Drosophila melanogaster: one gene and its partners. The protein of the gene in region 2 interacts with the protein of the main gene of each other region in a pairwise test. Each region holds a gene or a part of one and is shown on either strand. Other genes may lie near its edges.

Evidence for each region.
Region 1: the proteins of Cpr47Ea (region 2) and CG6425 interact in a two-hybrid assay, tested with the Drosophila melanogaster proteins (one large-scale study listed by BioGRID).
Region 3: the proteins of Cpr47Ea (region 2) and rdog interact in a two-hybrid assay, tested with the Drosophila melanogaster proteins (one large-scale study listed by BioGRID).

The regions. Positions count from the first base shown.
Region 1 is NT_033777.3:26,714,532-26,718,909, forward strand, and holds CG6425 (uncharacterized protein), read right to left. Parts: upstream 2,859-4,378; 5' UTR 2,734-2,858; coding exon 2,667-2,733; intron 2,608-2,666; coding exon 1,585-2,607; intron 1,520-1,584; coding exon 1,488-1,519; 3' UTR 634-1,487; downstream 1-633. Other genes in the region: Yif1 (Yip1-interacting factor 1), read left to right, coding at 3,447-3,495, 3,797-4,335.
Region 2 is NT_033778.4:11,251,151-11,255,196, forward strand, and holds Cpr47Ea (cuticular protein 47Ea), read right to left. Parts: upstream 2,249-4,046; 5' UTR 2,207-2,248; intron 1,745-2,206; 5' UTR 1,742-1,744; coding exon 1,566-1,741; intron 1,295-1,565; coding exon 1,219-1,294; intron 1,133-1,218; coding exon 977-1,132; 3' UTR 601-976; downstream 1-600. Other genes in the region: Or47a (odorant receptor 47a), read left to right, coding at 1-450, 522-572.
Region 3 is NT_033777.3:29,156,119-29,164,136, reverse strand, and holds the start of rdog (red dog mine), read right to left. Parts: upstream 6,016-8,018; 5' UTR 5,790-6,015; exon of another isoform or gene 5,639-5,789; 5' UTR 5,527-5,638; coding exon 5,447-5,526; intron 3,961-5,446; coding exon 3,730-3,960; intron 3,667-3,729; coding exon 1,681-3,666; intron 1,621-1,680; coding exon 1,067-1,620; intron 925-1,066; coding exon 1-924. Other genes in the region: Rpn2 (regulatory particle non-ATPase 2), read right to left, coding at 7,024-7,835.

The DNA of each region.
Region 1 (4,378 bases), on a different chromosome or scaffold from region 2:
TCTCGGTTGGCTTGGCTTCTGCAGCGGCTTTGGCTGCCCGCAGACGTCACCAGTTTGGACGCCCGCTGCCATTAGCCACCCACCATTCCGTGCTAAGTTGTAGCTAGTGTTTTGTCATTGGTTTATGCTGCGCTCCGTAAACATATGGCAGCATACTTGACTTTCGCTGACTTTCGGCTGAATGGCACGATTCGGCTGAATGGAGTCACTTGCTCCTGCGGTTCGAATGGCGAAGGGACTACTGACGACTGGAGGAGGACTATTCATAAACATGGGCGCAATTGCCTCTTACGCGTAATGGCTGCGAAAGGGCTTCAACTTTGACCTTAGCCCAAATAGGTTCATAAAGCCTCGAGCACCCAAGCCTTTAAACTGCAGGCCAAGCGAAAAGTGAAGACAGCTGGGGCAACTTTCGCCGGCTTTTCATGCCGACTTGATTGTTGCCTCCTCCCGAGTTTTAAGTGCGAGATGGGATTCACACACTTTGATTTCATTTGCCATAAATTCTGTTTTCCAGGGAAATCCCTTCTTAGACTCCTCATTGCATTTTAAATTTAATTTTATGAACTCCACATAAATTAACATTGGGTAATGTTTGCTTGATTGGTTGCCGGAAAAATAACTCAAGAGATAAATAAGTTGCAGTTTTTATTTGTTTTTCAATACAACTTATGTAATATAAACGAAAAATAAGAAATACTTTTGTATACACTAAATTATTAAGGCTTGGGTCTTGAATGTTTCATACATATATAAAAAACCAGCACAATGTAAGCATTTACATTAGGCTTAATAATATATTAAACAGGTTTATCAATAGTGGAAAAAAGAAAACGAAATATTCATTGAAACAATCGAAGATGATGAGGAATTGGCGTACTTAGGTAACGTGTAATTAAATACTAATTTTGTTGGGTTTATCAGCTGCTTCTCAAGCAACTCAAAGACGCGAAGAAATCCAACTGACCTATATATAACCATAGTCTGAATATTAAAACAGAAATCCTTCGCCTACATTTCAATTAATTTAAAACGCTGTCGCACTCAACGAGCTTCCTATCCGTGAATGAAAGCTCAACCGGGGGACGTCAATTCACTGCCTGTCGGCGACCAGTCGTATCCACCTGTCCGTCTGCGTCCTGCCACCTGTACTGGTGGTACTGGTGGGCGGCGCGTTCGCGGCCCGATAATGCCGAACATATGGCGAGTCGCATGCGCCGAACGAACGCACAGGCCTTCGATGCGAATATTAAGGGTCCTGCTTTAAATTACAATTAATTTTTAATTAGGCTTAAATTAACATTTTCAAAGACGCTTTGGAGCTGCATTAATCAATTAGCGTACTCGTATACAGAATGCTCAGGCAAGGGGGCACGCAAGTCAAGCGAAACAAAACGAAATATCTTAAACTCTAACTTTGCTCATCACAATTGGTACTCGCTGAAGGGAAGCTGATTGTATTCAGGGGCTGGTTACCTAATCGGGTTTCATTTCCGGCTGCCAAAGAGTTTGCCGCGCGCTGCAGGGAACGAAATGATGAGTTTGCTTTGGTCTAGAAATGTTTGACTTCACTCTGGCACTTACCATGCGATGTGGCTGGGGACAGAGCGTGCGAACTGGCGTGCCGTTTGATGCGCGGAGTATCCCTTAGCTCTGAACCAGATGCGGAGGAGGCACTTGTGCAGGCATTTGAATTGGCCGTCACATTGGTCAGGGTGGACACTCCGCTGCACGAATCCCCTGTGGTTGGCATTGATTTGTAGCGCTGCAGCGAGGTGCGCGGCTTCTTCGGCATTGTGGCCTGCTGCACTGCCTCTTCTAGGGCGTTTAGCCAGTCCTCGCCCTCGCTTTCGTCTTCCAGAAATTTCATGTAGAAGGAGGGTCGCTTTGCCGTGTGGTGCCTAGTGGGTGTGGTGCTTGTGCTTGATTTGGGAGGTTCATGGTGTTCTATTTTCGACTCCAGTTGCTGGGAGGCCTCAAGCAGGAAGAGATCCGTCTCCGAGTCGTTGAGGAAGTCTGCCATTGGATCGGAGGCAGCTACAGGGGAAAGCACTGGCTCTGGCGTAGCCTTCGTGCAGGTTAATCTTGTGCGGGGAGCAACAGGTGACGGAGCTTTAGGAGTTTTTAGTGGCATTACTGGTTCGGACACAGCTATTTGCTCCAACTGGCTATTGAGCCTAGCACAGCGCTCCTTAAGAAGAACATTAGCCCGCATCTGCTGTGCCCGCCACTGCTCATTGTCCAGTTGGCTGCGTCTATCCTCGACGCCCTTAAAGGCTATCTGCCGGCGTCGTTCGCGCTGGCTCAAACTGCCTATTTCCGCGGAGTCGAAGCCACTGTCCGTGGTGGCATTGCTGCTTCGGTTCCAGCGCCAGCCCACCTCCGGACTTTCGGTGGCCAGTGTCTGGGAGAAGAGGCAGCTGGGCGAAAGGCTGATGTCCAAACGGGGCGAGAAGTCCACACTGTCGTCCAAGCTGGGCTTGTGTTTGTGTGGTGGAGTGCTCTCCAGGTCGGACGTGATTCCCACTACTGCTGAGGAGTTGGGCGAGCCGGGAGTGTCCACGGATACACTTACATTGTGCCCTGTGCGTACGCTCTGTGGTGAAGCTATTAACAAAGGATTGTTTTATGGATATTCCTGATTTTTCGAGCTTGGAAATCCTTACCACTGTGGCGCTTATGCAGCAGACGCGTGCTGAGCGTTAAAGATCGCCGTTTAAGTGCGTTCTCCATAACTTTGACTTAACAATAAAGTGAACTGCAGTCAATTATTTAACTAATCAAATTTGTTTTGTTTTGCGCTGCGGAATGCGCTAAAAATTAAAGTAAGCCGACAGTGTTGCCAGATGGCACTGTCAAAACTCACATGGTCACTCTGCTATTCAACTCGTTTTGTTTATAGCCCTTTTCCACTTAAACGCATAGTTTAATAAAAAAATCCACTCTCCAAAATCTATGAAAATATTTTATCTTTAAAATACAATCAATTTAAATTTTCATCTACATATGTTCTTTTATATAATGGCTGACTTGATGATATTTCTGTTACCACCAATGCAAGAAATCAGTTATTTGAGTACTGAGACATCCATTGGCACATAAATCCATATATCGCAATAAGATGAACAATAGGAAATTGTCTTAAAGAAAGTTTAGTGTATAAATAAAATAGTGTATAAATTTACATATAAGTAAACTTACGGAGTAAACGTTATAAAAATAGAGAAATGTACAAATATACAAAATATAATACAAAAAAAAAAAAAAACAAAGATATCTATAATTTTTTTTTGTAACTTTTAGTATTTTATCTATCGGAGTGCAAACATTCTGGTAGGCGGTCATGCTTTGGTATTTGGCAACACTAAACTCCGGTCACACAACAAAATGCTTATGGTGATGTGTTAAAAAGCGAAATTTTGAATACAATTTACTGATCCAGAAAGATGAACTACAATCCAAATCCGGGTATGCGGAACCGTAAGTGGGAGAACTGTAAGGATCAGGCTACGCAAGCAAGTATACCTGAAGGATGTCCGGTGCAGCCACTCCGGAATTTCCCCACCCGCCGCTGACCGGAATCGGAATCCGGAGTGCTGTCACTGTTTACGTTACACGTTACCCCGTTTTGTGCGCCGCTCCTGGCTTCCACTGCATCCTGCTCCCCAGTTTCTATGCCTGCTGTGCGTTTCCGTTCCGTGATGCGTGTGTAGCTTGAGTGCCTGTGTTCCCCGCTTCCCAGTTGTATCGTTTAGATCCTCCGGCACTAACTAATGGTTGCTCTGTCCCAAAATAGCCTCAGCTGCCGGTCGCCCAAGGCCGCCGAAGCGTGTGAGTGATGTTAACGCCATGGGACCCTCGGCTCCGATGATGGGCGGTGGCGCCACCTTCATGGCCCCGCCCACCGGCCCCGGAATACTAGATCCCAATATGTACGGAGCACCTGCTCCGGCCCCGGTCAACAGCTATGGCTTCGACCCCAATCTCGGCCAGCCCTCGCAGCACATTCAGCAGCCACCACAACAGCAGCCCGGATACGGATATGGAGCACCACCTCCCCAACAGGCGGCTGGGCCACCCACCTACGGAATAGGAGCACCTCAGCCTGTAGCTCCACCCACTGGACAGTACCCACAGTTCGCCATGTTCCAGCAGCCCATCGTGCAAGACATGGCTATGCAGTACGGTCAGAAACTAGCGGATCAGGGCAAGCAGATCATGGAGAATCAGTTCGAGAAGTGGGTGCCCGTAGCCAAGCTCAAGTACTACTTCGCAGTGGACAACGCCTACGTGGGCAGGAAGTTGCGCCTTCTGTTTTTCCCCTATATGCATAAGGTGAGAGTGGTGAAGCACAAACGGAGAAACCATATAAATTACA
Region 2 (4,046 bases):
AGATTTAAGGGCGGATCCCTTAAAGAATCACAGGCCACATTGAACAAAGTCTTTGCCCTGTACCAGACCAGCTTGGATATGTGCAACGATCTGAATCAGTGCTACCAACCGATTATCTGCGCCCAGTTCTTCATTTCATCTCTGCAACTCTGCATGCTGGGATATCTGTTCTCCATTACTTTTGCCCAGACAGAGGGCGTCTACTATGCCTCATTCATAGCCACAATCATTATACAAGCCTATATCTACTGCTACTGCGGGGAGAACCTGAAGACGGAGAGTGCCAGCTTCGAGTGGGCCATCTACGACAGTCCGTGGCACGAGAGTTTGGGTGCTGGTGGAGCCTCTACCTCGATCTGCCGATCCTTGCTGATCAGCATGATGCGGGCTCATCGGGGATTCCGCATTACGGGATACTTTTTCGAGGCAAACATGGAGGCCTTCTCATCGGTGGGTGAATCATTTCCATTGTACAATACATGGATTTACATGAATACTCTTTTCTAACTTTCCGTTTTTAGATTGTTCGCACGGCGATGTCCTACATCACAATGCTGAGATCATTCTCCTAAATGTGGTTTGACCACAAGGCTTTGGATTGATTTTTGTGCAATTTTTGTTTTATTGCTGAGCATGCGTTGCCGTACGACATTTAACAATCGATCTTACGTAATTTACATATGATAATCTCACATATTGTTCGTTAAGCACTAAGTAGAATGTAGAATTTGAATTGGCTGTAGAAATGCACAGATGAAGCACGAAGGTAGTGAGATTTTTCAGGGGCAGGAATAAAATGGAAATGATTATGGGTGGGATAAAGGATCTCCAACGAGCAGCTGCTCTCTCTCTCTCTCTCTCTCTCCTGTCTGTTTCTGGTTCACTTTCGGCCAGTTCGGCACTGACCCACAACGAAATGATTGCCAACTTGATCATAACGATGAAGAATTAAAACACGATTCTACAGCGGAGCGGATTACTTGAAGAATCTTCCGGGAGCGGCGGCGGCGCGAACTGGTGGCGGTGTGGGTATGTGGGCTCCTTCGGCGCGGTATCCGTTCTCATCAGCAATGTAGGTGATGGTGTAGACCACGCCATCGGGTCCGGTGTACGAGTAGGAGCCCTGCATCACCTGTAAGTGCAGGGAAATAAAGAGTTTCAGCACCACCGAAAAATAGGCTACAATATGCTGAATGCTGCACTGAAAAGCACACTAACCTGAGCCTCGATCTGACTGCCCGGGTTCTTCAAATAGCCAGCCTCATCCGCTCGGATTCCGTTGCTTGTCTCGTAGCTACAAGTTTTAAAAATTTATAATAATACTCATTAGAAACACTTAAAAAAGAAAAAAAAACACATGGATTTAAATTTAAAATCCTTGATTTTTTTTGATTCCAAAGAGCTTCTCACATATGAAGATATTAAAAAATTTTAAAGCTATTAAAATGCAATGTTTTGTAGGATTCTCTATATGATCCTAATTGAACTTAATTTCAGATTGTTCGATTTGTTTTTATCCATTCCAAATCCTGAAATTGATCCTACCATCCCTGGATCCAACTTACTTGTACTGATAGGAGCCATCGGGATTCAGGTCGAAGTTCTGCTTGAGAATCACCGCGTTCGCGTCGAAGGAGTTGCCGCGTGGTGGGGGAAGTCCGCGTTGTGGCTGCGCCTGAATGAAACTGAGGCAGCAGAGGGCCAAGACGAGGGCTGCGGCGGAGGCGTGGGTGAGCGACATGACCTTTAGTGGGCAAAAGAGAAGATGGGGGGAACCGCGCGGTGGTACGGTGGTTAAATAGAGTCATAAGTAAGTACTGCAGATGAGGTGCGGTGTTTGGTGTTTGGCGTATGGTTTTCAGTGTTTGGCGCTCGATTGAGATGCCGCCGGCGTTGTCTTTGAATGTCAAACTCGTTGCATGGCAATTAGTATGTGATATACTCCGATTGGCTTTTGCGATTTGAAAGTTCTGCGAAATTATGATGATTATGATGGTGGAGGTCGTGGGAAAAATATCCAAAAGGGGCTTGAAATCCAGGAGATGACTGTGATCTTTTGAATTTAAACTTTGGTTATCCTTTATGCAGGATCAACTCCACTTGTCTCTGCACTCGCTCGCAAGTTGTAGCTTATGTGTCTGATCTATGTATCTGTGTGTGATCCTGTCTTCAAGGAGTCACCACCGCAACTAGAACTTAAACTCACTTCGGATTCGCGACTTGATAGCGGGTACTGCGCTGGGAGGCTCGTCAAAAGTGCTTTGACTTGGCTGCAGTTGCCACAAACGTTTTTATACCGAAATCGCATTCACTGCAGCTCACAGCAGAGCAGCGGCAGAAGCAGCATCCGCAGCCAGATGCAGTGCAGCAGCCCAGATTTGCAGATTTGGCGGCTGGAAGGGCAGGAGGAGCCGACGACGAGCGGAGGCCGAGCGGGATTCGAAACAAACAGTGTTTGTCTGCCTGACAGCAACAGAATCGGAAGAGCTGCCGTCGCTGCCAGTGCACCACGTAGCGTATGCGCAACGAGTTTCAAATGCAAATGGGCGTTGCGCATACGCCGCGTATGCAGCTTACAGCTCACAGTTCTCCGCGGTGTAATTTATGTGAATTAGCAATGCGAACTTCATTTGATTAGTGCCCCCGCTGGATGCTCGACTGGATGCAATAATTCGTTAAGTCAAATATTAATTAAAAGATTACAGATGTTGCAATTGGTTTCGATTTGATGAATTGGCCATTTGGCCACATGCCTGCCAATGAGTCGAGATAGAATCTCTGCCGACTGACATTTGAATGGGCCGCGGGATGGGGCGTAGCCAGCTTGTCCATTTCAATGCATTGTTAAAGAGTATTATTTGTCTTTGTTTTCCCTATGTAGACCGGGTGAGCCTGCCCTTTTAGGCCAATTTCGCTGACCAGGTCGACCAGGCACCACTCCCAGCTGCACCAGTAACTCGCTCCCATTTGGCACATTTTTGCCGGCCGGCTAAGGCTTAAACTAAAGAGTTTTCGGCTTAAACTTTAAACTTTTCCAGCGTGTAGGAAATGTCAGTTGCAATTCATAAAAATTACAGCAATAGCTGCTGCCAAAATCCAGCCAACTCGGCGTTGGAAGATGATCACGAACATGATGAACATCGCCCGAGATTTTTGGCCAACTCCCGCTACCCGTTGGTTTTTCCCTTTCGTTCGTTTTCCATGTTACTTGGCCAATTTCGCGGTTGCCCGCGTTTTGCTTTGGCCTTCGGGCGGCTTTTCAAATTGCAGTTTTTCGCCGAGAGGAAGAGTTGTTTGCCGCTGGCTTAGTGCATTTTTCACATTTGACATACAATTTGGCTTACTCACTTTACTACTAGCCGATGCTTTTTGCACACACTCACGGTGGCCAAGTAGTTTCCCGTGTGATGACTGATGACTGATGGATCGCGTGCGATTCGAATCCGAAACCGATATATGGACTCGTTATAAGCGCACCTCAAATGTATCTTAATTTATGCCCCTTTGTCTTCTGGAGCGTGTGTGTAGCACTATGCTAATATGCTATGCAGTTTCCTAAACATTGGCAATCAATCAGCTTGCCTAGATATTTCGGGCACTTTAAGTGATGGATTGACTGGCAGCGAATGAGAAACAAGTTTATGACGTGTCTTGGTGGGATTTTTTTCGATTGCTGGAATATTCGTATAACCGGCCCAAATCGATCTCATTACAGTGCCCCATCATCATGGGCTTTATCACTTGACCTCTGTTTTTTCTTGTTGACTTACGTTTAAGCCAAGTCGCTGAATCACAAATATGCAAATGTTGTCGCTAAGATGTGAGTGTTTTATTAAGTCACATTCTGCGCGCTTCCATAGAATTTCTTTTGTGTTTTTTCCGTTTTTTCTTTCGCTTTTGTTTTGGGTATATTTCTGTATTTTTTGGTTATGGCGTAATGGGACTGAAAGATGTTAATTCGCGGCTGCTGCGCACATTAAACGCCGGTATATAAAGTGGATGGAAGATGTGGTAAGCCAAGTCGTCCGTCGGTTCCCGCCTAGAAA
Region 3 (8,018 bases), on a different chromosome or scaffold from region 2:
CGTCCATAATCAGTATTTTATTGTGCCTTAGGATGGCTCTCGCCAGGCACACTAACTGCCTCTGGCCCACGCTAAAGTTGGAACCCCCGTCGTACATACGGCAGTTCAGTCCACCAATTAAAGTTGACACGTAGGAACGCAACTCCACATCGCCCAGAGCCTTCCACATCTCCTCGTCCGAACGCTCGTCCATGGGATCCAAGTTGTAGCGCAAAGTGCCGGAAAACAAAACCGGATCTTGGGGTATGATTGAAACCTGACTGCGCAGATCGTGCAAGCCTATATGCTCAATGTCCACGTCATCAATGCGGATCATACCCTCGTTGCAGGCCAAACGGAAGATGGACTGGATGATGGACGATTTACCGGCGCCAGTGCGCCCCACAATTCCTATTTTTTCGCGCGGTTCTATAGTGAAGTTAAGATCCTTTAACACGGGTGCTTCTTTGGGTGAGTAACGCAACTTGAAGTTTATGAACTCGATGCGTCCCTTGCTGGGCCACTCGCTCTTTGGCTTGAATTTCTCCGGCGTCTCCAGAAGTGCCTCCGACGGCTGTTCCGTATACTCGAGCACTCGCTCTACACTGGTCATCTGGTTTTCCAGCTCCGCTGTCTGCCGCATGCCCCACTGGCACATTCCAGTCATCGTGGTGGAGTGCAAAATGGCCAATCCCACGTCGCCGCTGTCGAACTCGTCCTTAAGCAGCAGAAAGCTGAATGTTACCGCCGTCATATAGACGATACACAGCACGTCTGACCACAAGGCAAAGGCACGAGTGCAGGAAAGGAAGAGAAACCAGGCGGAGGTGTTGGTGTTCTGGTACTCATGGAACTCCTGCTCCAAGGCGCTTTGGGCCTGCAAAGCGCGTATGGTGGTGAGACCCTGGAAGGTTTGGTTAGTCAGCGAGAAAACAGGACTGCGAGCTGGAAAAAAAAGAAATGCAAAAAAGGGCTTTAGGTTTTTGAACTCATCAAAAATTGGAAATATAACAAAAATATGACTATTTGCCAATTCTAATAAAACCTTACTGTTGTACTGAGCCGCAATTACACAATTCATACTTACATATAGACTCCAAGCGCTTAACACTGCGACTGGTGTTTACGTAGAGGTAGCGTATCATGCCCAGAATAACACCAATGATGGCAGCTGGAATCAGGAGCCAATAGTTTGCAATCGCCACAATAATGACAACGCCAGAAACATCGATAATGAAGGCGAGGCAGTCCAGCAGTGTGTGCGGCAGATCCGTATCCACTGTCCTTATATCCTTGGAGAAGCGATTCAGAATTCGTCCTGAGGAGTTCGTATTGAAGAAGTACATGCTGGCCCGAGTGATTCCCCGGAAGAGCCTGTCGTGCAGGTGCAGAGAGATGCGCAGGCACATTTTGAAGAAGCCAAAGGTGCGAATCAGGTAGACTATCAGTGTGGCGCCCAGTATGGTGGCATAGAAGAGTACAAGCTCCTGACGAATGCCTGCCTGGATATCGCTAGCTAATAAAGGCGCTATATATGGATCCGTGGCATTAATCGGCAGCGTATCATTGGCAATCGTCGTGTCGGTTTCGTTTAGTAGCGTTGTAGTGCGATTAACAGCTATTTGCTCTTCCCAAATGACCCTGGAATATGCGTTTATTAATTAGTAATAGAAATCCAAAATGAATTTTTAAATAGTTTACCATCTAGACAAGAAGTAATCCACTCCGGTTAACATAATCCTGGCGCAGACGAACAAAGAAATAACAATGCCCAACAAAAAGGTACTATCCAAGGCTTTGATGTATGAGGCGTAGACGTGCATTTTGATGGAACCCACAGTTTGCTGCTCCTGGTTGACGTCCTCTACATGCTCGTCCGGTCGAAGCAGCTGGTTGTGCTGATGCTCCATGCTCTTCTCGGAATCGCTACGAGACAAATAGCTGCTGACACTGTGAGTATCGATGCCGCTCTCGTCGTGCTGCGTCTGCTCTAGGAATTGAAACTGGCGGGAGCGCTGGAGTTCCTGGTAGCTGCCCTGGGCCATAATCTTTCCGGACCCCATCAACAGCAGGTGCTCCACATCGAACAGATATTGCACCTGATGGGTGACTAGAATTCTAATCTTGTTGGACAGAAAGTCGCGTATACAGCGATCGAAGATGTGCTTGCCAACGTGGGTATCCACAGCAGACAGAGGGTCATCCAGAAGATATATGTCCGCCTTGCGGTAGACTGCTCGAGCTAAACTCACTCGCGCCTTTTGCCCACCACTGAGACTCACTCCTCGCTCTCCAACCACTGTCAAATCTCCGCGAGGCAACAACTCCATATCCCGCTCCAAGCCACACACCTTCACCACCTTCTTGTACCGTCTCTCGTTGTAATCCTCAACAAAAACAATGTTGTCTCGAATAGTTCCCTCGAAGACCCAGCTTTCCTGTGAGGCATACGAGATCTTGCCGTGGACCATGGCTTCACCCTTATCGATGCCGACTTCGCCAAGCAGGACGTTCAAAAAGCTGGACTTGCCGGCACCCACAGGTCCAACGACAGCAGCCAGAGTTTGGTCCTTTATGTCCGTGCTAAAGTCCTCGATGGCACAGTTGGCATGACCATCACTGGTGTCCCAGGAAGCAGATACATTTTTAAGCACCACACATTTTTTCGTTGCCTCCGGATCATAATCCCTTAGACGATTGTGGTGGACTTGGCCATTGGACAGCAAGGAACCGTTTAACTCTACGTTCTTTTGTTTGTCCTTTTTGCTGATTTTGCGCTTGTTTTTGCCTGTTTGTTGATTTGCTTCCAAGTTTATGGGCACCTCCGCTTTGTCTCCGTCTAGTAGAAAATCTTTGCAACGTTTCGCCGAGACCAAGGCCTCGGCAATAAACGTGATAGACATAGGCCAAAAGGTTACCATAGAATCGTTAAGCATGTTGAAATAGGATGAAACTGTGTAAACCTTTTGGGCGGTCAAGGGATCACCAAGGTAAACGTAGGAGCAGAGGGCCAGGAACACAGATAGCGGCGATATCATGGAGGTGCAACCAAGAGCGGCATGGATGTAGGCAGTGCCTCGAATGGCCTTCACCTCCTTGAGGCGAACTTCGGCGATGACCCGGGCAAAGCTTTTCTCCCACGCATACATCTTGATCACCTGAATGCCCTGGATGATCTCGTTCATCAGCTTGACACGCATATCCGTTCGCTCTGCCGTCATTTGGCGATAGTAGGCGGCTTTCTTGGCTGCCCACGCTTGCAGTGGGATAAAGCTGAGCATAAAGGACACACCGATCACAGCCGATATACCGATTTCACGGTACATGAGAAAGCCAATCAGTATCGACTCCATCGGCCCTTTCCATGTATCATGAAGGAAACACAGCGCCACGTCGAAGCGCCCAAGGTCGTTGGACAAAATATTGATTGCTCTTCCTCGCAGACCATCGTTACTGCTGCTCTTCGAGACCTGCAGGACCTTGCGGTAGATGAGACCCGAAAGGGCCAACCGCAGCTTGGTGCCCACTTGAAATATGTAGAAGATGAAAGGGTGGAACGTTATCACAGGCACCAGCATGCAAATCACAATTCCCATGGCATACAAATATGCTGTGTTTTCACTGATATCCGTCTGATTTGTGGCAAAGTAACCGACCAGACCGCCCAGGAATAGCGGCATGAGAGATCTGAACGAACAAAAAGTAAATGGGATTAGCACGGGAGTTAAATTAGCATCCGTTTCTACCTACTTGCAAATCGTTTCGCTTATGGAGAACGCCAGCCCCATGGGCACGAAAATCTTGCCATATGCTCGAAGGATCATCCTCACCACACTGGGATTACTTCGTTTTAGCTCATCCTCCCACAGTTCCGCAAATTTGTTCGTCACTCTTTCACTATCCAGGGTCTTTCTATGTTGATACAGCTCCTCGTCCGTCAGCGGTCCCTGGAGGCCTCGCTTGAACAGGTCTCGCATCCACCTGAAAGATTAAAAGGTCAGAGTAGTAACACAGAAACCTACAGTATAACTACTTTAAAGCACTTAAATCCTGATATCCTTATCTTAGTTTAATTGCAATTAAACTAAAGGCGCACATGTTAAGGCTTACGATGGCAATACAGTAGTACTACAGAAGACCTTTAAATGTTCTGATAATGAGTGAGACAAGGTCATATTCGGTTGTTAGGCCCTAAGATTTTATACGATTTCCTACTCTTTATTGGTGTTTGATTAAGTAAAGTCTATGTAACGAAGACCCCAATTTAGATACAGTAGGCGCTATTTTGCTTAAGGGAACTCCTCTGATAAAACATAGACAAGGCCTGCAAGCGACATCATTTTCTTGGGAATTTCGTCAGTCCAAGATTTGCGAAAACCCCCGGAGGCATTGTTTGATTACATTTTAATAAAACGCTTGTACGTGTGTAGACACTTGCACATATCTATATATGCATGTATAGTGTGGAAACTGGGTAGTAAGACAGTATAAATGTTAATTTGAATGTTCAGTAATGTTGCTTATTCCATGTCAGCAGATTATCGTCCAAATTAACTAACAATAAAATTATGAATGTAGACATGTAGTATTTGTGAACATCAACACCAAATGGGCGTTAATTGATTCGCGTTAATCATTTGAATATTGGATCTATGGGCGACTCGATTCTATCGAGGCAAAATACAGGTTATAAAAATCCAAATTGGTTTACAGACTTTGTTGTCTTAAAATCACCATAAACTCGGATCGGAATCGTACGCTCAGGGTACGCAAAACTAAGACCAATTGATTCAGTCTTCTGACGAATTACTTTTCTTTATGTACCTACTGAAAAATCATGAGAAAACGGGCAATCGAACTCCACGATCTTAAATTAAAACCGCGCTCATGTGACGGCCCTGCCTGGAATCGCTAAGACTTTTTCATAAATTACAATTCAGTCTTATTGTGTACATACATTGTAAATTGTCTAGCCGTAGAGCGAACATTTGAATATTCGTAGTAAATGTGACATTGAATAGTGAATTAAAATTTCAGCCTTATCAGCTCTAGTCAGACTATGAACGCTTTGTTTATTGGAGGAAATCGTAATAAACCCCTGGTGCCAGATCCATCTGGTTGCAATTGGCAAGCGTTCATTGTCGACGCCAGATAAAGATGTAACCTTGTGGCCCGCGGTGACATTTAATAAAACTGTGCCATCGAATTGCCATTCTCATTATAACGGGAACCTTATCAAGCACACCAAACTTATCGGTCCAAAAAGGCTAATACAACTAAACTAATTATACGATAGGTGCTGCCCTGATACGAACCTGATACTACAATATGGTGAGAACACGTGCTACAGAATAGTACATTTGATTTACCGTAAGTGATATTCTCATGACTAATACAGGAGTGACTCCAAGTCTGTTTTCATGTTTTGATTAATTCTACATATCCACACGTTTGTAGTTAAACTCACCAGAAGCTCCATTGTGAGAAGAAGTTGGCTTTGGTGAAGGGATTCTTTGGGCGCACCACCTTCCTCCTGGTGCGGTTCATAACTTTGGGATGGGTACTGGTTCTAAGGTGGCCGGGATCGGGGGTTTACCGTTACGTTGCGGCACTGATTCACTGGCTTTCTCCGCTCCACTCCCCCCTGTCCAACGCTCTCCTGTCGAATTGGATGTTGAAAATCAATAATGCATAGCCGGCAACAACAAATCGGTTTGTCGCTTTCGGTTTATACAATGTACATAGCTATGTACAAATTTGTTGTCTAGGTCGAGGTCAGCAGTGATTTATCCACCGTTATCCACATTTACCGTTATTTGCGCGAGCAGCAGTAACAAAGAACTGGCTACTGCGTCGGAGATGAGTTGTAATTTTGCCGGGTTTTTGGTATATATATTCGTTGTGCTATATGCTAATTAACAGACGTCTGGCACAACGTTCACAATCTGGTCAACACTAGGAGCTATGGGAATTTACACTAATATTACGCGAAATGAGCACCCGCACGGAACAACAAAAAAAACCTACTGAGCTGGGCTAAAGAAATAGCTCTTCATTTATACCCGAGCGCGAGAGAGTGCTCGCAGCGTTGCCACCTAGTCGCATTTTATACCCTTTAAAAGAAGAGTTAAGAGAGGTGTTCTGAGTCCGTCAAATTTTTTGTCACATGGTAATGGCATTTGTTTTCTACCTACTAAATAATCTTAAAAACAGATGACATATTCTTTTGAAATATGTAATCTTCAGAAGGTAAAAATAATATGTTAATTTGCGCTATGATCTGCATCTTCATAAGCAGTAGGAGGGCAAATAGTGAAGCACTGATTTCAACACGGTATCTCTAGGCCGACGCACCGTTGAAGTGCACTTGCTTTTCAGTGCTTGTCCACGGATAATAACAGTGATTTATATAGTGTTTGTATTTGTCCCTTCTTTGCAACGAAAGTGGTTGGAACCAGCCATAAAAGTTATAAACATATTGATCATTTACTTGTTGAATAATTGTTTGCAAATATCAAGTTCCCTTGGCAACGCACATGGGCATTTAGCTTAAAAACATATGATTTCCAAAGATCATTTTTTAACTGCATATACGATCATATGCTTATATTTATAATAATTGAATACCAACCCGATTCGATTGCAATTAACCATCTTAAAATCCAAACATAAGTTTACCTTGAGGCCACGGTGCACCAATCCCCTTTAAAAAACGGCCATGGTAGAGAGCGCTTCTACAAATTCAGAGAGACTGTGGGCAATTGCCGAGCGTTGTGAAATCACTTATTTATGTTTGAGAGGCGGATCTTTCGGCGGGTGGCGAAACAATCTTCTTGATCGAGTTCTAAGGAGATAAAAAATAGGTTGGCGACTACCACCATAAACCAAAGTAGACATTATTTACATCTAATATGATGACCATTTATTGTGTTATAATTAGGGATTAGCATTTCGTGTTCTTGCCGATTAGTTGTTCTCATGAAACGTAAGCAAGGTTGAAAATCGAACAGGATTCACTTAGATAATGACAAACAGCATGCCCATTTAGTCCTCGATGTACTCAAAGGGCTCTGGGGGCTCCGGCTCCTTTTCCTCGTCGTTCATCGGTCCAAATGCGGCAACTGGCTCAACGAGCTCCTGGTCCTCTGCTTTGCCAGTGTGCTGGAATACAATAATTCCACCGATAGTGACATCCTTCAGCGGCTCATACGACTGGCCATCAATAACGCTAAGGACCTTCAGTTGCTGGCGAAGAACGCGGGCGGGATTCTGCAGGATTTCGGAGGTCGGCTCTGGCTCCTTCTTCTCCTTCTTGTCCTTCTCCTTATCCTTATCCTTTTCGCTGCTGGTGCCAGCTGCCTCCTTTTCCTTATCCTCTTCCTTTTTCTTTTCCTTCTCATCCTTCTTCTTGGGTTTCTCATCCGTTACCATCTTCTCATCGGCCTTGGCTTCTTCGTCCTTCTTGACAGCAGCACCCTCCTTGCTGTCCTCGTCCACATCCATCTTCTCATCCTCTTTTTTGTCGGCATTCTCGCGTCTCTTCTGGCGGGCGGCAATGGACAGAACTGCGGTGGCCACCTTCTCGCGCTCCTCGCTCTTCTTCTCCTCCAGTGGGGCGGGATATGCGTATAACGAGGGCTTGGCCGCCGACTTGTACTCCATCTTGGGCATTTTCAGATCGGAGTTCAGGCCGATCACACAGGTGGGTGTGAAGGCAAGGGAAAGGGTGTGGGCCAGGGGGAACCAGTACCAGTACTGGGTGAAAGCCAGCATGCCCACCACTGCCTGCAGGTTGGTGTGTCCTGTACGGGACTGCAGGGACAGAGTAGCGTTTCGGCCACCAGCATCAATAATACCTGGAAATAGTCAATGCCTAATTAGAAAGATCTGGAAAGGACGATTACTAATTATAAATCAATTCCTACAAAAATACCTATAGTCGTTCGCTTAGTTAAAAATGGAATATTTATAATTTTGAGTATCTACTAATCTTATCTCGAAGCTTGGCGGGAAAACTACGGAAACCAATGTTTAATAGA